Linked DNA regions of Lonchura striata. The protein of the gene in region 3 interacts with the protein of the main gene of each other region in a biochemical or structural test. Links are inferred from orthologs where the notes say so. Each region holds a gene or a part of one and is shown on either strand. Other genes may lie near its edges.

Region 1 (8,298 bases), on a different chromosome or scaffold from region 3:
ACAGCCTAGACAGGATCCAGAACAACATCTCTCCTGAACAGGAGAATGTGTTTAGGTGGGGCTGGAAACTTTCAGTGACAGGTACCAGAAGCCCTACTCCCTCCTGTCTGAGACCATCCCCCTGAGACCCCGAGGAGCACAAAGCTGGGCTAAGCTCCATGGACCATGCTGGAGGGCCACAAGAACAATGCTGAGGCTGTGCAACAAAGCCTCGTTGCAAGGGTGGCATTTGTTGCCTCTATGTCTGCGTGTGGCCACGCACTGCTTTTCACGTAAGCCAGCAAAACGCAGCCTTTCTGTTGCCTGAATAGGAGCAGTGACATAAGCCCTCAGCTGAACACAGCTGCGGGAGGAGTGCCAGCACGGGTGCACTCCAGCAGGGTGCCCACATGGGAAGCTGGAGCCCTCTTGGTTGGCTAATGGTGCTCATCAGCTTATGCCAACCCCATCTCTGCCTTGCAGCCAAACACTGACACATCCAGAGGAATGGCAACAGCCACCAGATGTTCCAAAACTTGCTGGCAGAGCCTTCCAGCATTCCCACAAACACGAGTTACTGCAGGTGCAAGAAGGCTCAGTCCTTTCTACAGGGACAAAGTAATTACAGATCTGAGCCTTTCCCATCAGTGCATACGGCTCTGACATGCGGCCCAGAGCACCTGGGGCATATGAAGCCCTGGCAGGAAAGCATGGCTAGGCAGAAGTTCTACCCACACAGCTGTGCCACTTCCACCAGGACATGGATGAATACAGTAAGGGAGCTCTCCACTGCACCTGTCCCAGTGTTTGGCTGTTGAATTGGGTATAAGTGATTTGGGGTTTTTTTTTGGTTTGGGGTTTTTTTGGCACCTCCACCCAAATCAACACTGCTGGTCCCTACCCAGGCCTATGTAACTGCAGGAGGGACATCAGGAGGGAAAACAAAAGATAAGCTGTATGTCCCCAGGCATGATCTGCCTAAAAGCGGGCAAGGCACAGCCTAAGCAAGCTGAGGGAACACAAGAACAAGGAGCCCTTTTGCCAGCCCTCACCGATTTTCCCTGTGAGGATAAACATACCCTGTTATTTGAGAATTCTCAGTCATACTGTTCTGCAGAGCTCGGTGGCGAGAACAGAAAAGGCCACCACCACAAGCTCAGCCTGGGTCCCTGTCACCTCCCTCCCCTGTAGCCCTGGAAGAGAAGAGCCCGTATTGTTCGCAGGACAAAGGTGAGGGGAGCAGCTGGTTTCGGCCTCGGCCATGAATGGCCAGGTCAGGAGGGCCTGGGGCAGGTTTTGGGGATCCTGTTCAAGGCGGACTCCATTTACAGCACAATGGGCTGCACACAACCCCCGAGGCAAGGATACCTTTCGCAAGCCATCCAGGGGGTGGATGGAGATTCCTCAGCCACTGCTGGCATCCTCGCCCCCCACCCGCAGTGGGAGATAAGAGGATTGAAGCTGAGCTGACGCATAATTAGCACCCCAAGCACTCCGGACTGCCCCGATCAGCGCAGCCCCGCACCCCGCGAGTGCCGAGCGGGTGCGCAGCGCTCCCCGAGGGAGCGACCGCACCTCCGCCAGCTGCGGAGCTCGGGCAGGGACCGGGAGCGACGGACTGGGCTGGCCGCGAAGGTGGGTCCGGCTTCACCGCTGACACACAGGAAGGGCTGGTGGCAGCCGGACTCGGGGACACTCCCCGCGGACCTCGGTTTACGTGAAACTGCCTGCTCATTCTTTTGGGAAAGAGAAGGTGACCAAGGTGGCAATTATTATTTTATTAATTAGGGAGGGACGAGGGTGTACCAGGACTCGAGATGAGACAAGGGGTATTGAGAAAGTAGTACATTTGTTTTAACCCCTTTGGGTGCCCTCTCTGAGGCTCCAGCTCGGCTTGAGCACCCGAATGACAAGATAAAAGACCCAAATATTATCTTGGCATACCAGCCTGCCTAAAAACTCCAGACAGCGCTACCTGGGCAGGACGCCAGCTCACCTGCGAGCCCTCAGTTTAAAAGCCCCACGGGAGGACTTTCCCAGAGAACAAAAACCAAAACAGTCAAAGGCAAACAGGAGCCGTGCTCCAAAAGCCCACGCCAGCCAGGCTGCTGAGCTCTGCTGCCGCTCAGCCGTGCCCAGCTGGGCAGCCCAGTCCCTGGCTGGACCCCCACAGCCAAAAGCTCTCGCAAACACGGCGCTTTCCGGACCGCACGTAGAGAATCAGCGGGCAGGGCGATGCGGGGCAGCTCGGGTCCTGCCCGGGCAGTGCCCTGCAGCGGCCCCGCTCCCCTCCCGGGGCGGCTGTGCCGAGGGCGCCCCGCAGGACAGCGGGGAGCGACCCGAGCTCCGGCGGGGAGCCCCAAGAGACACGCACCCGACCCCGACAGGATGAGGAGTCAAGAGATGGGGGACCCCGAGCCCTGCACCTTCAGCCCTGAAGGGGCAGGCTGAGTAAATTCAGCGGGACAGAGCCCGTGAGAGCCGACAGCAGCGGCATCCCCAGCGCGACAGGCACCCGGGCGGGGCAGACCACACGGACGACGGCGACAGGACACTGGACGTGCAACAGGACTGGCAAACCCAGTCCAAATATTTCATCCTGAACTTGGACGGGACCGACCCGGCGCGGGGCAGTGGCCGTGCGGGAGCAGTGCCCTCCGCCCGGCCGGAGCGAGAGGCGGAGGGGACGGCCCCGACGGGACGGACACCCCGGCACCCTCACCGCCCCCAGCCCCAGCTTACCCTCCAGCTTGAGCAGCGAGTCGTACACCTTGCACTGGATCTGCCCCGTGCTCTGCATGGCGCACGACATCCACAGCCCCTCGTAGAGCGCCTGGGCCGTGACGATGTTGTCCCCCGCGTAGGATGCCATCTTCCACTGGGGCATGGCGGTGCTGATGATGATGCCGATCCAGCCGAGGAAGGCCATGACGAAGCCCAGGAGCTGCAGGCCTCCGCTGGCCATGGCTGCGGCCGGGGGCGCTGAGGGAGGCACGGAGGGAGGGAGGGAGGGCGCGCGCCGCTCTGCCCCGCGCGGCTCTGCCGCCCGCGCGCCGCCCCGCGCGCCTCTTGAGCCCGCGCCGAGCGCGCCCCCTGCCGGCCGCGCCCCGGCCCCGCCCCGCGGGGGCCGCGCAGCCCCGGCCGCGCCCGGCAGCGACCCCTGCTCTCCTTCCTACCCTCCTTCCCTCCCTCCTTCCCTCCTTCCTACCCTCCTTCCCTCCCTGCTCCCCTCCTTCCCTCCTTCCTACCCTTCTTCCCTCCCTCCTTCCCTCCCTGCTCCCCTCCTTCCCTCCCTCCTTCTCTCCCTCCTTCCTACCCTTCTTCCCTCCTTCCTTCCCTTCCTGCTCCCCTCCTTCCTTCCCTCCTTCCTTCCCTCCTTCCTTCCCTGCTTCCCTCCTTCCTTCCTTCCCTGCTTCCCTCCTTCCTTCCCTCCCTGCTTCCCTCCTTCCTTCCCTCTTTCCCTCCCTCCCTCCCTCCCTCCTTCCTTCCCTCTTTCCCTCCCTCCTTCCCTCTTTCCTTCCCTCCCTCCTTCCTTCCCTCGCCGTCCCGCACCGCCCCTCCCTAAGGAGCAATGATCCCTTCTGTCCCCCCACGGGGCGGGCTGCGTTGGCACCCCGGGGTGTTTTGGCACCTCGACAGGGTGCCCTGGTTGCCCCCTCCTCGAGCTGAGAGCCCCACTCGCCTTCCTTGGACTGGCAGCCCGCTGCTGTCCTTCACAGGCTGGCGTTGCAAGCTTGGCTCTCCGTCTCTCCCGGCGCCAGCACAGCGGGCAGGGGAGTGGGGACAGGGCCGTGCCGGTTCCACCTGTCCCTGCTCTGTGTGACCCCCTTCCCCAGCCCCGCTCCGTGCCGCGGGCAAGGCAGGGGGGCATTTCCCCCGGCAGATTCGCTGCCTGCCTCCTGGACAAGCAGCACACGTGGGATAACCAGCTACAGAGCAGGAGGTAGAGCAGCCACGGGAATTATGAGTGCTCTGATTTTGAAGGGCTTTCAGAGAGGCAGCTGTGCAAACACTCATCATCCACGAACAAATCCAAACTTTTGAACCTACCATTTTAATAAGGACAGTACACCTCTGCATTACTGGGAGAAATTTCACTTCAGTGATTTGCCGGCTCAATAAGGCTTATTGAACCAGGGGATTACAGACCAGGAAGGAGTGTCCTCTGTCTTGGGTGTGTGTTTGCCCAGTTACTGTAGTTCCCCTTTCTCCTGCACGAATATTTGAATATTGACGCATCTGGACTCATAGCAAGCAAAGTGAGGAAATGATGTCTCCTTCAGAGGTCACAGCGTGGGCTGGGTGGTGCTGCCCGCCCTCACCACAGGCTGGATGGAGGGGTCCTTCAGCCTGGACCTGCTGTAATCCCAAACTCTGAGATAAACAGGTGATAATTCCCGATAAAGGTCCTGCTGGAGGTAGGGATGGGGTTGCATTGTTTTGACACCGTGCTTTGCTGCATTCTGATGACTTAGGAGATTTTGCTGGAGCTGCTTCCTGAGATTTGCAAACGGACAAACAAACAGACTCGTGATTACCTGACCTGTCCTGTGCAATGTCAGGGGGGTCAAAGGGGAGAAAAGCCACTGCAATCTTGCTCCACCGGCCAGAGACAAAGCAAGGCTGGTTTGCTCTGAAAACACTTGTGGCTGCAGGTCTCCGTGTCCAGGCAGCAATGCTGGTGTGATAAAATCCACCCCAGTTGCCTGGTAGCAAACTTTTCCAATTATGTCTTTATTTTTATATTTTTTTTTTGACTTTTGAAGGATTAAGGAACTGTGATTCTGCACATGAATAAATGGTGTTTTCCTGTGTCTCTGTGGACCACAGTTTTATACTTCTGGGAGTGAAGAAGAAGAAAGCAACAAAGTTTTCTTTGGCAATGCAGAAATAACAAAGTAGCTTAGTTTATCTGTGTATTCATGAAGAACTCTGATACAGGGAGCAGGGAAACCAGCATGGTGCTGGCTGTTGGAGCTGATTCCTGGCAGGAACCATTCCTTGCCTGGTAAAGAGGCAGGGCAGAAACTCATGTGGACCTGAGGAGAGCGGAGTTAGGAGTGTCTGGATTTGACCATTGGCATCTACGTAATTGTTTCAGTCCAACAGTGTCCATTCCAAAGGAATGTGCAGTGTTCCTGGTGCTTCAGAGCACTGAACTCATCCCTTTCCCAGCCCTCCTGCCAGCCCCTACCCGGACAGATTGGGCAGCTCCTCACTGACTCCTGCAAGGTGCAAGGTCAGCTCTGGACAGGGTTAAAAGTTACCGAGACACTTTTAGAAGGTTTAGATTCTTTTGTCTGCAGGCTCTGAGCAGCCAGGAGGGGGAACAGAACCATTCTGTATGGGAAGGTCTTGGACTTTATACTGAACCTTCTAGGAAAGTACAGGGAGGAGTCCTGGGTACCAATGATCTGATTGCACTGGCACTGGGAGGCACATCAAGACTGATCTTGGGGAAATGCATGCAACCAACATGTGATGCATGTTGCTGCACCCTGACCATGCTGCTAGCTCTTGGATGGACTGAAATTCATGGCCACTGTGTCCTTGGGAAAATTTGGCTTAGGATTTATCTTAGAATTTATCCTGGTGGCATTCTGGGGATGGTTTGTGCCAAAGCTGTCTGCAGTGTGAGTCTGACTGCTTGCTCATACGTAGGACAGCGTTTGTGCTCAGAGTCTTCCCCTTCCAGAAGGACATGGAACTGAAACTGGAGACAGCAATATTCTGTGAGGATTACTGTGGAATTGCAGCCTACACCTGCCTGGAGATGGATGCTGTGCTCCTGAGGGGCTGTGCAGCCATCCCATTGCTCCTCTGTCCCTTATGGTGCTGCACTGGGCAGTGCTACTGGGTGACAGAGTGGCCTTGGGTCAAACAAAGCCATTGAAAGGCAATCAGGACACATGTCCATGTGCTCTCAGACCTTCTACAGCCCTCATGGGCTGCAGCACAAGTTGTCAGTGCTTTTTTGACCACTGAACATCCCTGACAATCTGTACACAGAGTTTACGCAGTCCCCTCATGCACAATGCCAGCCTCATGAACACCCAATTTGTATTTTGCTTTCTAGGGACAATTTAAGGTTGATACTTTCTATTCATGTTTCATGAAAGATTTCAAAACCCAGAAACTATTTCTGTGGAATCATCACAAGGAATTTACATAGCAAGATAAACACTGAAACTCCACTTTTCCCCTTCATCAGTCATCAATGTTCTCAGTGCTCTGGAATTTGCAGAGGATTTTACAGTATCCCTGAGAGAACCTAGGCTCCTCTTCTGAACTTCCTTCCTTTATTTGAGTCATGAAAATCTGATTTCTTTTCTTGGATGATTTTTGACTCTGTCTCAATGGGCAAAATAAAACTTCTTTTTATTCATAATCGCTGTCTTTCCTTCTCTTCCTGAGATTCTTTTGGGTTTTTTTCCATTGGAAATCCCACAGACTTTTCACTCTATTTTCACCTAGTTTTTATACCTGATTTTGGGAAATGCCATTCCTTCAGACCATTAATCTTGGCTGAAAGACCTGAGTTTATCCAAGATGTTGCAATCTCCTCTGTATTCTTTAGGCTAAAGGTACTCCCTTAGTGACAGTGTTTAGTGATTGTCCTGCTCTTAAAGTAAACATGCAAGTTGAATTTTTGTCCTTTACAATAGCATGACCAAGTGAGAAGAGGCGTGTGTACAGACAATCCCTGAAATCAAACTGGGTTATTTCTGTCTGCAGGTAGAGAGACTCCTCTAATTGTTCAGAGAGATTGCCCTTGTGTGCCACAGCCCTGCCTGCACCGGCCAAATGCTCAACACCTTGGTCATGTTCTCCCTTAGGGGGTGTGAGTCAGAGCTGTACTCAGCAGAGATCTCAGCTCTGTGGGTAGTAAACGATACCTGTTTCCTTTTCTGGCAAAAACAAGCTTTAACACTTGCCAGGACTTGCAGGTTGAGCAGCCTGGTTTCCTTCTCTCAGACATTTCTCGGGGAAGGTCTCACGGTGCTTGCCTGTGTTTGGGAAGCACAGGCTCACCTGTGCTTCTCTGTCCTTGCATACACTAAAGCTTGCCCAGACTCTCCTGAATTCATCCTTGAGCTGAAACTCGTGTATAAGGGTAAACATCTGATTGTAAGTCATTATGAGTATGGGCAGGTGCACAGAGCAGCAGGTGTGCAGAGCAGGCACAGCTGCATTACTCTGGTCTCAGAGTGAAGGCACAAGCTTCACAACCTGTGGGATGTGGGAATGGCCAGACAGCAGCACTCCAGCCCATGTTTCTGGTGGCAGCTGGTTGTAGAGCCAGGAAATTATGCAAGAACAGTGACCCTTCCCCAAAATGTGTTATAGCCCACTCTGATCCATGTCTGAATAAATCTTGAGGCGGTGCCAGTACTTTTGTCTTTAATTTTGTTCACTCGATTCTCCTTTCATAAATTCAGCTGTTTGGTTTTTTAAACTTCTGGCACTTGCAGCATTCTGCAGGAAGGATTTTTGCAGATTTACTCTGTACTTCACAGGAAAAGTGCAACACCTTGTTTCTTTTGAACTCTGTGACTTGCTGTTTCATTTGAAGTCCCCAAGGTCCTGGAGGAAAAGGGCAGGCTGGTACGACCACATGTGCTTAGCTCAGGTTTACATTGTCTATAAAAACTTTAAAAAGACTTCGTTGTTTATCTGTAGGCTGCTTTTTCTTCTCTCTCTCTCCCACTTACTCCTCCATCTGTCCAGCAGAAACACCCCTGCTGAACCTTAGCTCCAAGCTCTGTTTTGCAGGCAGCGCCCAGATGTCTTTGCCCAGATGTCAGGAGGATCTAAGACCTCTGCAAATCTTCGCTGGGATTAGTCAGGATTGTGTCCAGCCTTGTCTGCAGTGAGAAGCAGACTGTGTTTGACCATGGTGGCAGCTAAAGCAGCCAAAGATCACAGCTTTCAGGGCTGGAGAGAGCAACAGCACAAGGAAAGCTTAACCCTTCATCTGCTGCTCACTCCTGCAGGGCTGCCATCCAGTACAAAGTTTTACAAAAAAACTTGGAGAAGACTTTCTTCAAATTACTCCCATTGCCCATAAACCAGAGGGCAGTGAACAGCACCAAAACCAGAGCTTTTACCTACACAGATGAATTGAAGCCATAATTTCCAGGAGCAAAACTCAGATTTCCTCCTTGGTACTGAAATTTGTGGTCGATGGAGGCAACATCCATTGGAGGGACTGACAGGACTTATTTGATACTGATTACACACAGGGAATGTATTCTGAAAATATGATTTAAAATAGGCTGTAGTAATTATTAATTCTCAAATACTGGGGACAGAAAAAGC
Region 2 (7,326 bases), on a different chromosome or scaffold from region 3:
TTTCTTTTTGTCCTTTAACCCTTTTGCACTTTTTAATATTACAGCTGTGCCTGCCACCAATCCAGAAAAAAACACCACCATTCCTACTCGCACTAGTTCCACAAGCCTACCAGCTGTAAAACCCATAAAAGAGAGTTAACACACAAACAGGAAGTTCTATTCAGTAAAACAGGAATCATCCCACTCAGATCTAAATTACGCAGACTTCCAGGCGTTCCTTTCGTGCAACCCATGGGACAACTGGGGTTACTTCAGTTTAAGAATGATCTCTTAGCGTTTAGCATAAACTCCTTCCAATTTGACTTCAAATGGTCACATGTGGTAAAGGCATAGCTGCAACTCATCACCCTGGTGTCCTTCCTACGCTGGCTGGGTTGCCCACTATGACCCATGGAGATTTTACTACCTTCTAGCTCCTCAGCATCACCCCTAAGCCATGAGTATACTGAAAAAAGACCATGCAGTCTTCCCAGATGTGTTCAAGGTGGCCCTACTGAGATGCACTGTCTCCATCCTCCCACATTCAGAAGCTCTGAAAAATTTTTTCAAAACTTCATAAGCAAGAAATCAAGCCCATGTGCCCACAGAGCTGAGAGAAGCATCAACATTTACTACTGCAATCCTCTCTCCAACAGCAGTTTGAAGAATGGCCATCGCTGGGGTGCATTTCTACTCTCTTCAGAGAGCAGGAAATTTTAAGCTGTTGTTGCTATTCCATATCCAAACAGCCATGAAGTGGGAAAACTCTACAATCAAAAAAACCCTTCAGTTTCTCCCTGTTTTCAGTTTTAAGACCAGGGAGATGAGTGAGCAAAAATAAGCTCTACAAAGACCAATGTTCTTTGCCTTGCTTCACATCTTTTCTAAAAGTAGAGAAATGTCTTACAGCTGGAAGAATTGGAATGTCCTTTGGAACAACAGAGAAAGCTAATAACCTGGACATAACTTTACAGGAAGACCTGGCATAACACAGAACAGAATAAAATGCACACATCTCTCTTCATACTTTTCACATCTTCAAATACAAAAAAAAACCCCAAAATCTCTGAAATCCAATGTATCAGTTATTTACTTCCTTTTAAAAAGCTGCTCCTGAACTCCTCCTTGCTCTACCTCTCACCAGTCAGGCACTATTCACCAATTTTTCCCAATATTTGGTATCCATAACATCTAATTAATGACACTCTAGAGCTCTGCTTAAAAAAACAACAAAAAACCCCAAACAAATAAACAAACCTACCAAACCAAAAATTAAACCAAAAAACGTCCCACACTCTAACTCTTCTTGTGCTGCTCAGAAATACAGCAGCATTATATTTGCAAAAACATAGAAAAATCTTCCTTTCAACACATTAATACAGACAGATGTCATAAGATCCAAAATAAAAAGCCATGCTTTCCAACCTACAAGAAAAGGTTTTTTCCAAGCTTCAGATTTTAATCAAAGCCTGGTCAGAGCTCCATTCCAAACAGCCCAATTTTCTTTTTGAGTCAAAACCAACTTCCAACTAGTACTTTAACAAAAAAATGTACCAGTGAAAGCCTCACCACAGGAATCTTTAGCCCACTCTGTTTAAACAGCCCCAGCTGGTAACTTCAAGTCAGCAGCACACACAAAATTAACAGGATGCCTTTCGTGTTGCTCTGTGATTATTTCTGTGCATCTCCGATCTAGTGTCAATGTTTCTTCTAATCAACATAGCTCCCATCATTCAGTCATTTAGAAAGGAACTGTGACAGAGTGAAAACTTCACAAGACCACAGAAATTTCCTGAAGAACACCACATTACCTGCCAGATGAACTCAGAACCAGTTTTTGGAAAATAACAGTGAAAATACCCTCCCCTTGCCGGACTCAGTGTAACTGCATAGTTTTAAAAGCTGCAATGCAAGACATGTATGTAACTTGCTTTCCAAAAAAACAGCATTGTGTTGTTTTAAAGGATCCAATTTTATACATTTAAGACGTATTTGGATTTATTTGTATTGCACTCTGGGAGTAAGAAGTTCATGTTGCCAAAGAGTATAAATTTACTCCAATGTATAATTCAGGATCAAACTCTATCAGAAAATCAGAAATGTTAGACTACATCAAAAGTCTGAAGTTAAAAATGTAACTCTGAAAACCAGGTCACTTTCACTCAAGTCCAAGAGCTTTCCAGCCACTGCAGCAAAGACTTCAGCACGCCTGGCACAGAGCAGGCAGGTTTATCCCAATCACCAATACCTGCACATCTACAGCTACTGCTTCTCCTCAGCAAGCACTGCTGGGCCTTCTCTGCCCTTGAAAATGGCAACGACAGCTCTGTTACCGTTCTTCCTGGAAGGCAATGCAGGTAAGTAGTGGCCTACTAAATATATGGTTAATAGTAAAATAAGTTTTATTTTGATAATGATTACTTTTATCTTCCAAAAATCTCTGTAGTTAAAGCAAAAACCAGAACATAATAGAAACCTGATAGCCAGCTAAATAATATTTTCACAAATTCAATAATTTTTTTTTTTCAAAAGACATACATAATAAAAATTCTATTGCCCATAATACATAACCAGTGTTGAGTTTTTTTGTAACACAACAAATAAGCAGTTTAAAGTGCATTTCTGTGGTCGGGAGGCCTGGCTCCAGGCTGGGTAGGAGCTGGCAGCACAGCACACACAGCCTGCTCTCAGTGTCTCTAGGGCAACAAGCACAACCAACTGCTCTCCCCCTGCTGCCTGCTGGACATGCAGCAATAAATGCACTGGAGCCACCTTCCAGGCAGGTGCAGACCTGCAGCTCCTGCTCCCCAGGCAGCAGCTGGGGCAGCAGACAAGAAGATGCCCCTGGGATGGGCACTGCTGCACCAGAGGATGGACAGTCCTGGGTTTGCAGTGCCCAACTCACCTGGGGTATAAAACATTGCAATAATATTCATACCTGACTCTTTCTTGGTCCCCTTGCCACCCTCTCGGCTCTTTTTTAGAACGGCCTTTAACATTTTAAATGTTGCTCCTGGAGAGTAACAGAGAGAAAGAAAAATAAATGCAATGTCCATTCACACAAGTCAAAATAAAGAACAGGATCAATACAAAAAAAACGAGGTAATTATGAGAGACCTTTTGGTAGTCACATTTATTTCTTACAGTGTCACTTGGTTGAACAAAGTAGTGAAACACAAGAAACGCTTCAATACTTGAACTAAGCAACTAAGAGTTTGCTGTCTTCTGATACAGAAAAATAATGCAGCATTCTCCACATTCCACATCCACTTGCAGTTACAGGGCTAAACCTGAGTAAGCTGCGGTAGGACACTCCAGCAAAATAAACTAAAATCAAGCTCTAACTTCTGACTGGAGTTCAGCAGCCTGACTGGCAGTAACGGGAGCAGGCTGACATCAGCTGGGAATGCCAACTGCAAGACTGTACAGCAGGGATAACAGCAGGACAGGGTACCACCCCCACCTGTGCCCACACACAGCACACAAGGGAACTGAGGAACAAACTCCTCCATCCCCACAACGCTTTCTGCCTGCCACATGGCACTCTTAACAGTCAACCTCAAGTGAGCAACAGCTGCAGATTTCAGAGAAGTAAGAAGTATAAGAAAAATGTATTTGGGCTGATAAACCTGAAAAACAGTTCTTTCACAGAAGTAACTCCAGTTACAGAGCAAGGAAAACAGAATGGAAGGAATTATGAAGATCACTTCTTTCTCAAAATGCTTTCTGGGAGCATCTGAGAATTGTGATTTCATTTGTTTTCTCTATTGAAAAAATCAAAAGGTATCTCATTTAGAGAAAACTTTCAGTACGGAATGTGCAACAAGAAGGGGGGGAAAAAAGTAACCTGACTATGCTGTCTTATGTAACTGACTGCCATGAACACCACATGAAATCAAAAGGAAAAGCAAAAATCTTCCATCCAAAAACTGTGGATTCCTCAGAAATTTCTCTTCATTTGATGAAATAAAACAGAGAAAGAGAAACCAGTACAATAGAATTGTTCAGCTCCTATGAATAACCTGAAGCATACGGAACTAACAACGCCCAGAAGCCTGGAAGGTTTCCAGGGCCCGGCTTGCTCTCCACCAGCTTCGCACAGGTAACAGCCGGGCACACACGGGCTGTCCCCATGCAGGCAGGGCCACCCACGGGCACAGACACCTCCATCCCGCACGCTGCCAGGGCCAGCAGGCTCTGCAACATCTCCAGCTGCTTTTCCCCAAGGATGGGAATTCATCAGCCCTCTCCAATTTCAGCATCAAGAAAATTGAAAAAGCTCACAAACACACGCCCAAAACTGGATCATCTAAACAAAAAATGAAATACACTAAAAGGAAATAATTTTTGATTACTAATTGGATACAAAGCAAAATAAATGTATCAAAATAACCATACAAAAACCAACTGCCATGTTAGAAAGCCTGCATTATGCAACGGTAGGACCTAAAAGTGTTAATGAATTTCAGAATCTAAGAAAGGTATTTCAGATACATAGCTAGAATAGAGTGGCAGGGGGAAGAAAAAAAAAAGGAAGACCTGAAAAGTCACATATTATATTTAACTTTCTTATTTTGCAAATCAGGAGTGAATTTTCTATTAACCAGGACAGACAGGCTCCATATAGAACTGAAACTCTACAGTATATGTCATTCCTATTCTTAGAATATAGATAAGGGTTAATGAGAGACCAAATAAAAGGAATCAAGGACAATTCCATCCCAGATTTTCTCTTTTTTGGAATTGAGGCCAATTTCCCTACTGTGCAGAGTTCTCCACTGATCTAACACAGAACACAACTGGCATGCAAGATGGTTGCTTATTCAGACCACATTCAGTGTGGATATGAAAAGTGCCTACTACCTGGAAATAAAGCCCACTTCCTTCCTTTTCCCCTATAAAAGGAAATGCCAAAATAAAGATAAGTACCTCCAAAGCAACTCACCTTTTGCTGTGTGAGTTATGCACACAGAGAGAGCTAACCCTAAGGGCTGCAACAGCAAAGCAATAGCAGCTCTTTGTTTGCAAGTTGAAAGGTATAAAAAAAATAAAAAAAAAATAAACTATCTTCTGAAGTAATGCTAAAACCACCACCTGGGGTCCAGTAAAACATCATTTGCATTCCAGAGCATGCAGGTGAACACAGAGAATGAACCAATGATTACAGCTTAGAAATACTTTAGTGTTACTTAAAAAAAAAAAAAAAATATATATATATATACCAAAGTTATTTGTGCCTACTGCGATGCTTATTGACATACATCCAAAAGCATTTCAGTTTCAGTATTTCTTCATACCCATAGTTCACACCTCAATAACACCAATTAAAGTGAACTGCAATAGTGTGCATTTATAATTTCTCATCCCTTGAATCAGGCACAAGATAGTAAATCTTGTTCTGTTTTAAAGATAACTGTATTAATAGGATATTTTACAGTAATGCTGGCACACTGTCTTTCTAAGCATATTGCACTTTCTCTCCCCTCACAGCTAAGATGAAGTAGAAAAACTCCCTGACTCAGACTTCAGGAGCCCTTTCAGCTACTCCAATTGCTTCACTTTGGTAAACAACTGCAGTTCATGTTTTCTTAATTCCAATATTTAAATTCTGCCATGAAGCCACTTTTTTGGTGTTTGTTGGGTTTTTTTAATAATTTTAAAACTATAATTCCCATTTTAAAATGGGTATTAGATGTGGACTTGTTATCCCAGAGTGCTAATAATAATGTCCCAACAGAACTCCTCTGCTTGTTGAAGACCCTGTCAGCTGCTGACAAAGGCGGACTCCCAGCTTTGTCCAGACCATTTTCAAATGGATGCTGTGCTCCCACCAGTTCAACTGTTTTCTTTAGATGCAGAAGACATTCCATACATGCTTCCTGCTCAGAGCATGAAGGGAAAGGGCAGAAAGTCCCTTGATTTGAGAATTTATAATGATCAGCTTCTTTATGAACAACTCCAAAACACTGTCAGCTTGGTAAAACACAAATTTTAGGTAATGAAAAAGTCAGGACCACAGGCACACAAAACAGTTCATGTATCAACCTTTATAAGTACTTCATTACCTGAGGAATCCCTCCTCTGAAAAGCAGAGATGGAAAAATCTCTCCACATTTTCACTCTGCCTGCAAACCTCTCCTTAAAACTCAGCAACTTTCTTGCATGGGAATGTGTTCCATGTAAAACTACCACTGAAGACAACAACATCAGGAACAAGATGATTCACAGCTCTTGTACCTCCCTCACCTTTTGGAGAGGGTTATTTTCAAAGATCTACCAACAGGAGCTCATCACAACTGCAGAGGTCAAATAAACTAATCCCACATGGCAGGTAAGCACCTGAGCTAATGCCCATGAACTCCTGACATTTACACTCCTTACAGTACTACCCACAGCTGTGTTCAAGCTTCCAGATCTAGATCCTGAAAACCAGTCAGCATTCATTTGCAAAGAAATACAGGGTAGAACACCTTAGTCTACTGTCTGCACAGAAGTACTTAAGTATTTGCCACCTTTCAGTGTGGAATTTATTAAACACATACTTCCAAATAATCTGTATTTTTTTAAAGTGTATTTTGCATTTTTGAATCCAAAGATTCAAAAATTTGAATCCCAAAATCCTAAGCATTGAAAGAAAACTTCAATTCGTCAGAACCGCTTTCACTGCCTACAAACACATTCAGAGTGTTGTTCTATGTGTCACACAGAAAAGTTCCAACATTTCCCTTTTCTGGCAAATTTAAAGCCCAGATTTCAAACAAGAGGAATATACAGCAAAATGCAATACTTAAAGGAGCAAAGTATTACTGATGCAACAAATCAAGACAGTAAGTAAAAATTACTACATTTTGGGCCATCAATATCTAGCATTTTGTAATAAACAGAGTATGTATCCCCGGATATGGGACTACTAATTCATGAATTAACAGACATTGTAAGAGAATAGTAGTTTTACTTTTAAGGTACAATTTCCAGTGAGATATATGCGTTATGATGATTCAAATGCATGAGCAAAAATGATAAAGCATACACTGGAGAGGTCTGTCTCTGACCCTTTGTCCCTACAGCCAAGTAAGAAGTGGCATATATAATGTTTCCAATATGCTATATTTAGCCAGACCCACTAAAGTTAAATAGTTATTACTGAAATATTTTTATACAATACCCTAAACAATTATGGCCTTTACCCTTTGTAGGCAATTCTCAGGCAGAAAGATCAATCTAAGTACAAAACAGATAAAATACAGATAAACTGACAAGTTGTAGTTCACTTGCATAATTTGCTCTTCACTCAATCATCTAATTATTAAACTTACCAGTGAGATACTCCACATTTTCTCCCTCTCA
Region 3 (7,338 bases):
ATTGCTGGGGTTGTTTACTGGGAAATATTACTGGGAAAATGCACTGCTATCACAGCTCTTTTATTCCAAATAACGTGCAGCCTTTACTGCTAGATCTTATCTCTGATGAGTTAATGACACACTAATGAGAAAAGTAATGCTCAAAATATTACAGCTACATTAAGGTAGTCAATTAGCAACAGTTACTTAATATAGAAAGGCATGACTAAGCAATTAAATTAATGGTTCAAAATAACACAGAACAATACATTTGTGGTATAAATGCCAATCCCACACGGGTAGATGTCTGCACCTGTACAAATTCTTAGGGAATCTGGTACATCTGCATCTGCCTGGCAAAGTTAAGAAATACTAAATAAAGAGTTAAATAAAATATTGCATGCTAGTTTTTTTTTTTTTAATGCTTTGCACTGTTCATAAAGTTGGTGCATTTCCAATTTAAAATGTACTTGATAAACAAGTGCTTCCATCAAAACAACTTTCTGCTGAAAAGGTCCGTTTTCAATTAAGTGTCATCAAATACCAAAAATGTTTTCTGGCAGCTGAAATTTCCTTACTACATTGGTGTGTTTGGTAGAAAGTAAAACAGAAAATTGGCAATGGAAGCTAAAGAAACAAAACAAGCCACCAAGCCACTTCCTATTGCTGACATTATCTTCCAGAGGGAAAAGTTCTCAACAGTTCTACTCTCCTGGCTAGGAGGCACCACGCTTCCAGACACACAGCAAAAAAAGCAGCGTGAAATGCTCCAAAATGAAAAACAGTTTGGTTCACTACACCTTGGAGCCTTACCTTTGCCATTTGCTGGATGATCATGTTAAATTCATTAACTGCCAGGTTTGGAGTGAAGGCTGATGCTCTGGGTCCAGGTGAAGAGCAAGGTGTCCCAGCAGTGACTGATTTGTCAGCAAACACCAACAGCCCCCTCTTGGTAAAATCAAAATCCACCGAGCGGTCCGGAGGCATGTAATTGAGCTGTTGGAAATGAACAAAGGTGTGGAAAAGCTACTGAAAACAAAAGAAGGGTTTTCCACAAATACCATTTTATATGCAGGCTGCCAAAGGAGCAAAAAAACTGTGTTCACATATGCCAGTTCACACAAATATACTCACCTGTATAAGTCAGGCAGCGTTAATATATAATCTATAACCAAGCTACCACATCAAATTTAAACTGTTTTTCAGGAGTTCTTTCAATAATTCAGCTGTGTTTCTACTCCACTTATTTTCCTCTGTTTCTTTCATGCTTCTCCCCTGCCCGTGCCCCTTATCCTCTTTTCCCCCTGGTATTCCAGAAACAACACATGCAAAAGCACCAAACACTAAAGAGCACTGCTGCAACTCTTAGGGAAACCTACACAGAATTTTGGTACAAAAGTTCAAATATTTTGAGTCATTCAGGAGCCTGAGGCCTGGTTTGTATTATCCTGTCCCCAAAGAGAGCCTAGGGTACAAACTATCACTGAACATGTTATCTCTGCTGGAACTTGCACTTCTAGTCCTCACTGATAATGAAGAAATGAAAAATATTCCCAGTGTGATAAAATAAACTAGAAAATCCTACCCTGAAAGAAGCTGCCCATGCTTAAACAGAATTTCAAGAAAGTCTAAATTTTCTAGATATGAGAATTCTGAACATTCCAAACACAAACCCCACTATGTCACAGTCACTTCTTAGATACATTTGCATTTTCATACATTTTTCTAACAGACTGCAGACATGCATCCAAGCCTTGGAAGGAAGGGATGCAGCACCTGTGGAGCTTGGGAAGGAGGGATAATGAATGGCACAGCCACCACCAGGCCAGCCAGGCAGGAACACCTGCAATACACCTGGCAAGGGGCAGCCTTGTCCCCCTGACACCCACCCTGCTGGTCACTCCTTGGTTTTCAGTTTGCTGAAACTCAGCTGCAGGGTGGCACCTGTCCATGCCCATGTCCACAAAATCAAGTGTCACTTGGCTTCATAAACCAAAGCACGGAAGTTCCAAGCTCTGCTGAAGCCAAGTCATTTTAAAACTCGCTTGGGTACAGCTGCATCAGAGCTTGGCAAATCTTCAGGCTGGGTTTTCTACACTTCACTTGCCAAAAGCAGGTTAAGCATTCTTGTAAAAATTAGAAGGAACTAAGTGATGCTGTCTTTTAGGGAGGAAAAAATGCTGCCAGTGAGCTGATAAACAGCACTTAGCTTCGGTGAAAAACAAAGGATCCCAGTTCCAGCACTGTTCAGGACTCCAAACACCGGAGCTGATGTCTTCTGCAGATGTTCTTTTCCAACACAACCCTGCCTGTGCTGCATCCCTTTCAGAGCACGTTGCCCCACGACCTCTTGGTTGCAGAACCACTTCTCTTTTCAGCAGTGCCTCTGCAGACACCACAGAAGGAAAAAAAGGCCCAACACTCACTAACACCACGTTAGAACTGATTAACGAGAGCGCCCTCGTTAACACACGCCTACACATCCAGATCCAAGCTCCACTCGCCCAGAGTTAGCACCACACCAACAGCAGGAATTTTACACTCACTTGCTCCTTCAGCTGCTTGATGGATTGCTGCAGAGTCAGGATCTGGTTGAACAAGGGGCTCCTGAGGGTGTTCCTTAGGACAGTCAGGTTTTCCTGGTGTTGGGAATCCCTTTTCTCCTGCAGCTTTGCCTGCAGCCGATCCAGGATCTGCAGCACCTGCTGCTTATCTGCACCACAAACGGGTCCAGGTTAGCAATGGAGCTTCTTTCCTCATTCAAATGATTCAAAGAATCATTTTCAGACCACGTACCTGCTGCTGGATTTTCGGGCATGTTGAGGGTTTTTTTTGGAAATTGATCAGAATAACCTGAGTTTTAAAAAAAAAAAGAAAATCAAATTAATTAATGATAGATCTAAACAGAGCTATCATTTATGTTACTATGTTACTAAAGAGTAACATTTGATAAATGCAAGAATACTAAGCTAACTACAACAAATTTAATAAAAAAATACTACTACCCCTGTTATATACCTGTATAAATATATTTAATATTAATACCCTGTATTATGTGTTTAATACCCCAAATATTTAAAAAAGCTCTCGACATAGCCTCAGCACATCCTAAAATTTTATCTTGTTCCATGTGCTTTTCCTTTCACACACAGGAAGGAATATGAACAGATATTCCAAATATGAATAAAAATGCAAGCTATGAGAAAAAACTGAAAAGAAAAACTGAGACAGATATGTTCAACCAAATTATTTTGAATATTGACATTAAAGTTGGGATCTTCATAGATGTACACAGAGCTGAAATCTACCTATTATTTAAAGATACTTTCCACCTGATCATTTGTAGACAGTATTCCTGATAGTTCAGCCCAGCTGGATGGCAATATAGGTGAAACTCTGTTTCCCCATAAAACAGTGAAGTTCACTCATGGGACAGCACAGAGTTAAAGCCCAAAATTTGGCATATGAATCCCTGTTCCAACACATTCCTGAGGAAGGTCTGTTCTAACCACAGCCTGATTTACAACAGGTGAAGGAAGCCTCCTGCAGGTGTTTGCCTTTCTCTTTTCTACATACATGAACAGCAAAATATCCTTTATTAAGCTTTTAAGGAGCGGAATATCCTTTATCAGGCTCCTCCACAGTGCCAAACAGAACAGGTCTCCAACAGGGGCCGAGGCCTAGATGGCAGTATAAAAACAACAGACTTGCAATTAGCAGAGATGATTAATTTGTACCCTTGTTTTCATGTTATTAAGTTGATGTGGAGCCTGTCATTCTGAAATCTATCAAGGCAGCTCTACCAAACAAGTTTCCTTCACTTAGTACAAGCTCCTCTGAAAAAAGTCAGCCATTTAACAGCACAATTTACATAATTTTAATTCTATCCAGTATATAAGTGTGTAATTCCAGAATAATATATTTGGAATTATTTTGGAACAAGACTTGCCATATCCCTCTCTCTATATAAAAGCTTTTTATTTATTTTTTAGTCTTGCAGTTCAAGAGGAGCGAGGGTCATGTGGTGAACGTGACACCAGGGTAAGCACATTCCAGGGGCTCTCTCCCAGCAGGACCTCTGATCCTTTCAGCCCTGCCTCTGCTCACACTGAAAACATCTGGAATTCTGGGAGGACACTGTTATATTTACCAAAATATTAATGATGCAGGTGAGTAGCTTTCCTTCTTCTGCAGAGTCAGGTTAAGTTGGTTTACCTAATTGGAAAAAAGAAGTGGATGGAGGAGTGTCACAAACCACAATTTCAGATTTATGCACCCTTTCCTGTGCATATCCCAGCAGCTTTGGCTCCTGCAGGAATTCCTGCAGAGCTCAGTGGGTTTGTGTGGTTTCCAGGGCCAGGCAGAATGAGTCTCTTTGCAAGACTCCTAGGAGATTTAGGAGGTCATTTTATATCAAACTCATAGCAAGAGTTGAAGCAGCAAAGCCATACAACCCCCCTGAAAGATTTTCAGGAATGCATCTGCACTTTTGGAAGTGCTGCAGCTTTATTTTCTTTTCCATTCGAAGTAAAACACTTCTAAAGAGCACAGCAGCCTTTGATTCTGTGCTGAGAGCTGATTCTGAAGAGCAGATGAAAACATCATTTCCTTACACACTCCTGAGCCTTCGTTAAACCCAGAAGACAAAACTTAACCTCCTCAACTGAAAATATGGCACGAACCTTAACAAATCAGGACAAAGAACAAATTTCCATATTCTTTCTTCCCAGTTTAGCTTCCCTCCATTCACTTTCCTCCTCTGTTTTTCTACCTCTCATCAGCAGTTAAAAGAGGAAAGTGAGCGAACCAAAAGGAGAAAGGGATGGAAAATAACTCCAGTGAGGAAAAGTGGCTTGAAACACCTTTAAACCAGCAGTAGGGAGAGGAAAAGATTAAACCCAGAGAAGAAAGCCAGCATGGCAGGAAATAACGACGACCTGACAGCAACATGCCCACCCAAGAGCCAAAGCAAAGAGGCTGGTCCAGCTCCCCAGGCCTCTTTCATGCATTTATTCTTCCCTTTTCACTTTCCATCCAGCTGATCCTATAGCGAGCTGGAACAGGGAGTTAAACACTCAGAAAGAATCCTTCATGTTTTGGTGGCGTGAGCGTTGTGCCAGTCAGCTCTGAGCCCATCCCCAATCCACATGTTGAGCTAACAATCCCCAAAATTCATCTTTTTTCCTTTGCTGAGGGTGTAACAACAGCAATTATCCAATACCCGAGAAAATTTGAGATTTAAATTTTAGGAGAAGAATTATAGGTAAGAGATCTTGGCTCCATCGAAGCTGAAGTTCCCCAGAGAAGGAGGTACAAAACAGGAGGAAAAAAAAATTTAATCAAAGTTTCAGCTTCTTGCTTGAGCTGCTCCAAGTGTCCCTAAGAGCCACTTGTGCCAGTGGATGCCCAAGTGGATCTCAGGTGTTGAATAACAGGTTAAGTTTACACAGCACTTTGGGGTTCCTCGTGATCAGAGCTGCCCTCCAGACAGATTGCAATTTTTTTTAGGTTTTTTTTTTTGTTTGTTTGTTTGTTTGTTTTGTGCAATGTGCTAAAACCATACTCAGTATTTCTTTATTCTCCTTTCTTCCATAATAGATTGGGGGGCGGGAATTAAAACAAACAGCTCCTTCTGGTGTGAAGGGATCCCTGAAAATACAAGCTAATTTAGAGTTTTCAAGTAATGGATAATTGAGGACAGATCTCTAAGACCTGCTTTTGGGCACCAGAGAAACTCATAACTCGATGTATTATTGATCTCTATGTTTAAGAGCCCAAACAATTTATCATTAAACACTTTGCAAACACACTCTAAGTCCAGGCAGAGTGTCAGCAAACAGTTGATATATTAGAAAGTCTATTCCTAGATGTTAATTTTGAAGAAAGATCCAAAACACTTTGGTTTGTCCTGTTAAAATCAGTTCATGCACTCCACTTCCCAGCTCCAGTCTCCAACTCCTATGGAGGCTTATTTATCTTACTGGAAACCTCAGTTCAACATCTATGTCACAATTTCCAACATAACCACAAAATCATCGAGAAAATGATGTATTTCAGGAGGTTGAGTGTTTTGTAACCCCAGGACAGCATCCATCTGGGGTTCCACTGTCTTCACTTCTGAGAGCTGAACTCAACGCATCTGAGGGAGTGGGAAAGCTTCCGAAGGTTTTGTATGAAATCCCACCCAAGACTTGGATCTTCTTCAAAAGCAGCACAAGGAAAAAGGAATTCCTTCATGCTGGTGCCAGCAGAGGGTCATCAGAAGAGCTGAAAGGTTTAAGTCTTCCATTGCCATCACCCCCCTGTCACTTGCACGGGGACACGGAGCGCTCAGCCCTGGCACATCCCAGATCCCAACATCCCACCAGCAGCCTTGACAAACACCTACCCTCCACAAAGGGCTGCTGGATGCTGGAAACTCCACAAAGGGCTTTGCTGCTGGAGGTTCAGCCAGCAGAGATTCTTCTGCCTGTTTTCCCCACCCATCCACAACCACCTCTGCCCCACGTCCTTCAGCCTGGCCTCCAACAACCCTTTCCTGCATCCCTCCAGGAAAAGTCCAGCCTTATGGGATGTTCTTCCCCCCTCAGCCTGGCTGGAACCTTTGGGGATATTAAAACCCACAAAAATCCTAACTAACTGCTGCTATTTCTCAAAGGCTTCTAACACAACCAGCCTCAGCAGCCAAAGGGCTCATCCCGATCCAAAGTCACCTTTCTGCACTAATGCAGTTGGAATTTTTCCTGGCCCTGTTATCATGAGTGACTAATACAGTGCATGTCATCCTCCACATCACAGAGACCTCTGACTTGGAAAATTTCAGTTTAAAAGTTGATAAAAGCAAAAGCAGGGGAAACCAGCATTTGTTAGTGTGATCTTAATCCTAAATTGTCCTAACATGCCATCAGCTGAACTTCAGATATCCAAAATTTTATTGTTTACACACCATCAAGTGACTCCACAGTGTAAAAAACACTATTCTAATACGTGTTTTGCTCAGTTTTACTGAATTTTACTGAATTTTAGAGAAAAATTCAGTCAGACCAAGCATAGCACATACACATCCTTCCTCTGAAACCACCTCTGCTCTGTGCAATGCTGCAGGATTTACAAAAATGCTGTTGAGCACACACTGACTGCCCCAGGCACTTGAAAGAAGGAAAAAAATTGCATACTTCTGTGAGTACCTGAACACTGATACACCGCACATCTCCAAGGTGCAGCGAGTCACAGCTAAATATTGCTGAAAATAAAATACTGCATGGGCAGGTTGAGTTTTACACACGATTAGTGACTTCAGGAAGGAGGACTTTCCAAGGAGGAAAGTGAAGAAAACACAGCACTCTGCACTGTGATTAC
Region 4 (7,812 bases), on a different chromosome or scaffold from region 3:
GGGCCAGGCTCCGCACACGCAGAGGGCCAGGCTCCTCACACGCAGAGGGCCAGGCTCCGCACACGCAGAGGGGCAGGCTCCTCACACGCAGAGGGCCAGGCTCCTCACACGCAGAGGGCCAGGCTCCGCACACGCAGAGGGCCAGGCTCCACACACGCGCTCCTGGAGCAGGGTCCCAGCCCATGGCAGCCCACCAGGAACGCTCCCTGCTCCCAGACCCTGCCCTGCTCTTCCACGCCATGAGCACCCAAAAACAAAAGAGCGCAGCTGCTCATCCGCATCACCTCCACGAAACCCACCCAGACTCACTGATGTGACTGAGCATGACAGAAAAGCAACTGAGAGCAACACAGACTATGGCCACTAACAGGCTCACTACTCTGCTTTTCCAGGCAAGTATCACAAGTTCTGCTTGCTTTTCTAGGGGGTTTTCCTGTACCACGTTACACTAAGTACTAAACCTGATACTAAGTATATTACCCTGGTACTAAACCAAACTAGTCTACTGTTAAGCTCACTGAACTCCCTGAACTCGCCACTACTTTCCTGCAGCAAATAACCAGATGTTGCAGGACTGGATTATTTTCAGCACCACAATTAAGAAAAAAAAAAAAACATAACAAAATTTCCCATAGATTCAGAACTGCTTTTGCTCTTCATCTGTACTAAATGTATTTAAACAATCTACATAAAGTGAAGCAGAAGTACATGAAGTACTTATTTATGTTTTCTGTTCATTTAAAATGCAGCTTTTCTCCAGAGTCTTTTCTCAGTGCATGTAGGTTTCCACACTAAACAGCAAACACACAGTACTAATTAAGATTACTATTATTTGTACATAGTATATGCTATCACCGAATATGAAAAATACCTCAAAATGCACTACAGACCCTGTTTTGCTATTGCAAGAAGCTTCTATAAAAAGGCAATGTATCCTACAACTTTCCTTGTTTACACTGTGTGACTGAATTTAACTGTTCTTTATAAAAGGATCCTGCATTACTATTGAAAAATGCAAACTCCAAAAGGCATTATCTTTTGACGATCTAAGAAAATTTAGAACTAATTATCTCCCCTCATAGAAGATGACTTGCACAAAACTTTGTCCAACTGTGTTTCAAAGCAGAACTTCTGGTATCAGTACCGCTATTTGTGCTGAATATCTGACAAGATGAAAGGGAAAAATAGTTTTTACTGGAAAGGAAAGGGGCTATCAGCTTTTCTACCTTAAATTAAAAATATTAATAGCATCTTATTTCAGCAGCAATAGAGAACTTCATAAGCAATTTCAACAGAAAAAGAAAGTTACTGCAACCTACCTTTCCGCAGTAAGGTTACATTTACTTACATATAACATTGTAATGTTTAACAGAAACATTACAGGATATAAATGCCAACAGAAAGCTTTTGCCCCCAACACACACTCCCTCCACTTTGAATACGATGAACATGACTGAATTACTGTCTCTTCATAAACTAAACAGGCACATTTAGTGGGTTCCCATATATATATCGCAATGAACAAACTATTTTATGTTGACCTCAGAAATACAGTTATTAGTTAAGGGGAAAACATTATCATCTTTGTCATCTCTTAATCACTAAACTCCAATTTATCAAAAATTGACAATGCTGAAAAAACTGAAAAGCCAGTTCATGCAACACTAGTGCTCTCAATCCAACCACACCTCTTCCTTCAAACAGTCGAATCTGGAAGCAATGACTAATGTAAAATTAACAGGGAGCGGGAGGCTGTTTAGGGGAAAAAAAGTACAAAGGTCTATGGGGCAAACAGAGGCACTTCAGAAACACTCAGTTGTCTGCTTGTGAACACTGGCGATGTCTCCTGAGCGTCAGCCGGGAGGAGAAATGGACTAGAGGGGGCTTGAGTCATCAGCTCCAGTTTTTCTGTGTTGAAACAGCCTGGGTTCAGCATCAGCATTTATTTTATTGCGGCAAGACTTCATTTCCCAGCTCTCCCAGCCCAAGCCACGGCACTAGCACTCGGTAACCGGCACCTGCAGAGCACTTTCTGCTCCCGCACACACTGCAGCGCGCCCGAGGCACGGCCAGCCGGCGGCACGGCCACCTGTCCCCGCGGGCCACGGCTGTCCCCCCGCACCCACACCCCGCACGGGCTGCTCCGCGACCACCCCGCGTGTGTGACCGGAGACGGGGGAGAAAACACCGCAAGAAGTTCCTACAGCCTCGAGAGCCGCGCTCCCGGTGCGCGGGCCGAGGATGCTCCGTGGCTCCCGGCAGCGGGAGCGCGGCTTGTTCTGCGGTCACACGAAGGGTGAAAAATTCAGATTTAAGTCCCGGGCAGGGAACACAGGGACGGCAGGGGGGTCAGGCACCCCCGGGAACACCAGGGCAGCAGCCGGAGCCGGGGACTCCGGGGAGCACCGGCGCGGACGCCGGGCCCCGTGGCCGCCCCGTACGAGCACACCGGGAGCGCAGGGCCCGGCGCTGCCGGCTGCCCGCGCCCGCTCCGCCGACCCCGCCATCCCCTGCAGCACCCGCCGTGTCCCCGCCCGGCCCCGCGCCCGGGGCCGTGCGGCGCTGCGGGCACGGCGAGGCCCGGCGGCCCTGCCCGCTGCGGCTCCGCTGGGCTCGAAGCTCCGGGCGCGGCGCCGCGCACACCTCGCGCACACGGCGGGCACCGGCGGGCCCGGGCTCCGCGCTCCCGCCCGGCGCCCGGGGCAGGGCGGTGGCACCTCCGCCCGCGGGGCCCCCTCCGGGCGGCTCCACCGGGCTCCGGGCGGCCCCGCGGGCGCGGAGAGCGCGCGGCGCGCCGCCCGCGGGTCCGCCCGAGACGACGGCTCTTCGGCCCCGATGCCCCGGCGGGGTCCGCCGCCTCGCCTGCCTCGCCTCCCGCGCCGCGCCCCGCCGCCCCTCGCCTGTCCCGCGCGGCGGCCCCGGCCCGCGGCCTCCCCGTGCCCGCACTCACCGCGCGGAGCGGCCCCGCGGCCCCGCCGGGCGCGCCCGCCCTACCCCGGGGTCTCCATGGTGGCGGCCCCGCCGCCCGCTCCGCCCGCCCCGCCCCGCCCGCGCAACGCGTCACGCTCTGCCCGGCCCGGCGGCCGCCCCCATTGGCCAGGCGCGGCCCGGGGGGGCGCCCCATTGGCTGCTGCTCCGCGTTAAACCCGCCAATGGTGGCGCGACTTGAGGTTGCCGTGGTTACCGATGCCGTGAGGGGGAGACGGCGCGGACGGGCCGGGACGGACCCGGGCCGGGACAGACCCGGGCCGGCTCCGCCAGGACTGCCCGTGGCCCCACCGCCGTGAGCCCTCGCGGTGAGTGTCCGAGCGATGGATGGACGGATGGGTGGATGGATGGATGGAGCACAACCGGTGCAGGGTGCCCGTGATGGCCGGGCGTGCCTGTCCCGCGCTGCCGGCCGCCTCCTGTCCCGCCGAAGGAGGAGCGCAGAGAAGAGCAGCCGGAGTTCCGGGGGCTTTGCCGGGCCCGTCTGCCCGTCACCCTGTGTCACCGGGATGGCCCTTCTTGGACAGGGAGCTTGGACTGGCCGGCCGCTCGTGGTCCCGTCCCGCCTGCCGCTCCTGTGACCGGCGTCGCGGTACCGGCAGAACGCACAGCCCGCGGCGCTGCTCGAACACCTGGGCTAACTCCAGGTGTTTGGGGACGATGGGGAAACGCTTTCCATAGTGTTTTAATTTCCCACCATTTTAAGCTTCCAATAGCAGCCGAACTCTCTTGATGGCGTGTGAGGAATCATAGACGTCGAAAAGAAAAGCCAGTATCCCTAAAATCGCCGTAAAACATTTCAATAACAAGCTTTGGGCATGTTAAATGCTTGATCAATTTTTTGCATCCCATACCTGACCTAGACTTACCATCTCGGTGTGTCTCGGGAATCTGACTGGGGCCATTCCTCTCCTTCCAGCCTCCCGAGCAGATCGCCCCGGTGTAGCCCAGGTGTGACTGGTTTTCCATTTACTTATTCTCTCCTCCCACCCTCCAGCCCTGCAGGTACGATAGCGATCGACACTCTCCACTTCATGGGACGGTGTTGTAAATGGCTCAGAGGAGCCAAAAGCAAACGGCCACTTGAATCAGCAGCTCTTGCTGGCTCTAGAGGTTGTTTTATTCACCCTCTTCCCCTGTTGTATAGATGCAGATGGTGTAGAAATCCTGCTGTGAAGGAACGTGAAAAAGGTATCCACATGTAACTTGTGTCTGTTTTCCATCCAGCTCAGTTTTTCGGTTTACTGTTTGGTGGGGTGAACCACAGTTTTATTTTAGGCGTGAGGACACATGAACTCGTGTTGTGGTTTAATTGGTGCTGTGCTGATGCTGCAGTTAGAATTATGTCCTTGTTAGCCTCTGCTTAGGAGGGAACTGCAGGTAACAAGGAGGAGGTAGCTGAACATGAGAGTCACCTCTAAACTCGTCTGCCCCTTCTCTTAATTTCCCACTTGGGATGTAATATACTACATGGAAACTATTGGTAAGATATTTAATCTCTGAGGTTTTTGTTGCTATTTGTATAATTATTTATCTGTTGAATAATGCAATAGGAACTCCTACATTATGATGATATCCACATAGTAAACACTTGACAGCTGTAGCCAGGAGTCTTGAGTCCTCACTGCTCTGAAAAATCTCATGGTTTATACCATGTGAACTGCATATAAAATATGACGAAACTAAAATGGTGGTCTCTGTCTAGGAAATGGGAAACAGGAGCTGAGGGAAATAACAGTAGAAACTTAGTAAAATAGAGTAGCAGTTGTGAAATAAAATAAGTGGTGGAAGGGTCAAATGAGAGTGGAGAGCTGGAGTAAAGAAAAGATAAAATGTGAGTTAACTTGATCATGAATAAAGGGAAGAGAAAGCATAGGATGTGTGAGAGCTGTGACCTTCCTTAGCTGTAAGGTTGCTTCTACCAAAGGTGTACTGGATTAGTTAAATTGGCTTCAAATCAGTCTCAACTGGTTTTCACATGTAATTTGGGTATTATTATGCTGGCTTGGCTTTCACAGGTAACAGCTTTTGGGAAAGGAGGAAGCTTACTTGCCCCTCAGCAAGTGAAACTGTTCCTGGGCATCGCTGTGGGCAGGATGCAGGAGGTGGCACAATGCCATCCCCAGGCCTTCCTGGTTCTGGTGGCTCCAGGTGACCAGGAACAGGCTGCTCCAGGTGCCCTGCATCCCTGCGCAGCCATGCATTGCAGGCTCTGGCTGTGCTTTAGAGTTCCCCATTGGGGTGAGCTGGAAAAGGGTAAGAAATGCTGTTGGGAAGGAGAAAGGGATCTTGAGTCAGTTTGTTTTGGCACAAGAGAAGTAGAAAGAATTGAAAGTAATGTTTTGAGGTCCTGTCAGATTTGGAAATATGCTGAATGACTGTCAGTGAGGAAAAGCTGTTTCATTCTGTCTGGTATTAGTCATAGCCTCCTAGCTGGTTTGTTTTGGCACCCTGAGCAGCCAATACATTATCTAATTGACTGCCGTGTGTCCCAGTGCAGCAGTCCTGTCCAACAAGGATGACATAGGCTATGGAAAGGCACCCCATTTTAACTGTCCAGTTAAATGTCTAGCAAAGGGCTGCCTGGATGGTGATTCTTTGATTCCTTATCCATTAGCTGAAAGTGACCTTTGTCAAATATATGTTTAAATTCTTACATAATTTTTTAAATCGGCAACAAACAAGTCAATTTTATTTCTTTTCATCTTCTTCTGGATGCAACTTGCAAGTAAGATGGTCTGTATCATTCTCATTTAGAAAGCCATCATTCCACTATGTTTACAATTCATAGCAACCTAGTCTCATACTTTCCTTTGGGACTGTATGGTTTCTCTTGAGCCTTAAATCTGACCCTTTAAACTGACTGTGCTCATCTTCCTGTGGTTTAGATGGCAATGCTGTTAACAGATACTTGCTAGCTGTTTTTGCTGCTGTTGTGCTTCTTCAGTGTTTCCAGTCATTAATATGTTTTTCTGCTTTGTTTAATCTAGTCTGAAATCAATCCATAACAGAGTCTTGCTTTTTATATATATTCCACAGATGCTTACAGCCCTTGCAGAACATTGACATGTCTATCTTTTAATTTTAGTGATAAATATCAGTCACAAAAACAGTTTGCTATTTTTCTTGGTGGGTGTTGTGTTTTGTTTTTCTCATTTATTCTACTTTTTGTTTTGTTGTTGTGAATTTGGTTGGTTTGGTTTTGGGGGGTTATTTGGGGGAGGCTGAGGGCTGTGGTTTGGTTTCTGCTGGAAGCTATTTAATGCTACCTGCTTTAACTTTAATCTCTTCCAGATACTGAAATTATGAAGGTTTGGGAAAAAAAAAATACCTGGCGACAAGAGTGATGCTCATGGCAGGCTAACACAACACATGAGCAGCTGTTTAGTGCTCATATGGGGAGTTACTTAGATATGTGGGATTTTTGCATCTTATTAAAACCTACAATTTGATTTCAAAAAAGTTACTGCAAGCCATCGTGTTGATGTCACAGCAATACAATTGATTTTGGGTAATTTTGAAACTGTAGTTTCATTTGGTATAGAAAGCACTAAATGTTTTCCTGCTTTTTATTGTTTAACTGGGGAGGTAAGGCACCTAGCAGGTGTATTTCTGGGTTAAGGGGTGGGCTGGCATTTTGCTTTTTCAGTGAGGGCTTGTGGTAAGCACATTATAAACTTACCACAAGGCTTTTATAGAAACATTCTGTTTCAGACAGTGCCATTCAAAATTACTGCTCTGCTGTGGATAGATATTACTCTTTCCCTGTGGTAAAACAAAATATTGAGGAAAAATTATTGGATACTGGCCGGTTGTTTGCACTTTCTTTTCTTCTTGCATGGCTCTGAAGCATCAAGTAGGAGTATCTGATTGTAGATGGTGCACAATGCTCAGCTTGACCACCGGCCTTCCTTGTAGAGCCTCGTGCTCAGGCTCATGCCCAGCTGCCAAGGGAAGGACAATAATGCCCGTTATGATACTTCTCTCCAGCTTTCCAGTGCCAGCACCAGGATCCTGCAACAGTGCAGGGAGCTGCGTTATGGAATGGATCCAGCTTCCCCAGAAGCCTCCCTGGCACACTTGCCCTTATTTTTCAGCTGGATCCATTTTCCGGAGCACACCGTTGCTGCCCATAGTGCCTGGACCAAGGAATGTGCAAGCAGCCATGTGCAGCAGGAGTGCAGGCTCCTCTTTTGGCAGGAGTGGGAAAGGTTTTGCCCTGGATACATGTTTCAGCAGGATGGAAGAGGCTTGAGGAACAGCAGCTTGCTGACCTGCAGTGTAGCTCAGGGACCTTTCCTTGGCAATTGCACAAATCCTATCCCAGGATACTGTTTCAGCTGGCAGCATGGTCCCAGGAGTGAAGGTGCTGTGTGTGGGGCAGCAGGAGAAGGGATGTCCTTAAGTGAGCTGTGCTGCTGAAGCCAGCTAATGATGAAATCGGGTTTCATCAGGTGTCCACCTGTAAGTCAGGGTTCCTCCAGGATCCTGCAGCACCAGGAAATAAGCAGGCAGCTTGGCAACAGCCAAGAGAATGGTTTGGAGAAAAGATGGCAGGAAATGCTGATTTAGATGTCCAGTAAAGGCAAGGTCATCAGCAGTTGGTCTGTTCAGTGGGTTTTCAAGTCCTAAGCTTGTAATTGTTGTGTAAATAACCTTAAAAAAACAATCAAAGCCCACAAAGAAATAAAAAATCCCTCACCACCCCAGCTCTGGGCAATGCAGGTACTTCTATCTACTCAAGGACAGGGGGAGGTCTGCTAAAATCCTTTTTAGTTTCTACCAACTTCTACAGTTGCTGAAAAAAAATATTACCTATCTTCT

What was found.
Region 1: the proteins of PATJ (region 3) and CLDN1 form a complex in vitro, tested with the Homo sapiens proteins (2 studies listed by BioGRID and IntAct, with this or other methods). The link is inferred for Lonchura striata from reciprocal best matches to the Homo sapiens genes PATJ and CLDN1.
Region 2: the proteins of PATJ (region 3) and TANC1 interact in a test that uses a peptide from one of them, tested with the Homo sapiens proteins (2 studies listed by IntAct, with this or other methods). The link is inferred for Lonchura striata from reciprocal best matches to the Homo sapiens genes PATJ and TANC1.
Region 4: the proteins of PATJ (region 3) and PKP4 interact in a test that uses a peptide from one of them, tested with the Homo sapiens proteins (2 studies listed by IntAct, with this or other methods). The link is inferred for Lonchura striata from reciprocal best matches to the Homo sapiens genes PATJ and PKP4.

The regions. Positions count from the first base shown.
Region 1 is NC_134612.1:16,566,169-16,574,466, reverse strand, and holds the start of CLDN1 (claudin-1), read right to left. Parts: upstream 3,036-8,298; 5' UTR 2,945-3,035; coding exon 2,722-2,944; intron 1-2,721.
Region 2 is NC_134610.1:523,519-530,844, forward strand, and holds the start of TANC1 (protein TANC1), read right to left. Parts: upstream 3,036-7,326; coding exon 2,918-3,035; intron 1-2,917. UniProt on the Homo sapiens protein: May be a scaffold component in the postsynaptic density.
Region 3 is NC_134611.1:6,615,136-6,622,473, forward strand, and holds the start of PATJ (inaD-like protein), read right to left. Parts: upstream 3,002-7,338; 5' UTR 2,798-3,001; coding exon 2,776-2,797; intron 2,693-2,775; coding exon 2,526-2,692; intron 976-2,525; coding exon 793-975; intron 1-792.
Region 4 is NC_134610.1:627,201-635,012, forward strand, and holds the start of PKP4 (plakophilin-4), read right to left. Parts: upstream 3,036-7,812; 5' UTR 2,951-3,035; intron 1-2,950. UniProt on the Homo sapiens protein: Plays a role as a regulator of Rho activity during cytokinesis. May play a role in junctional plaques.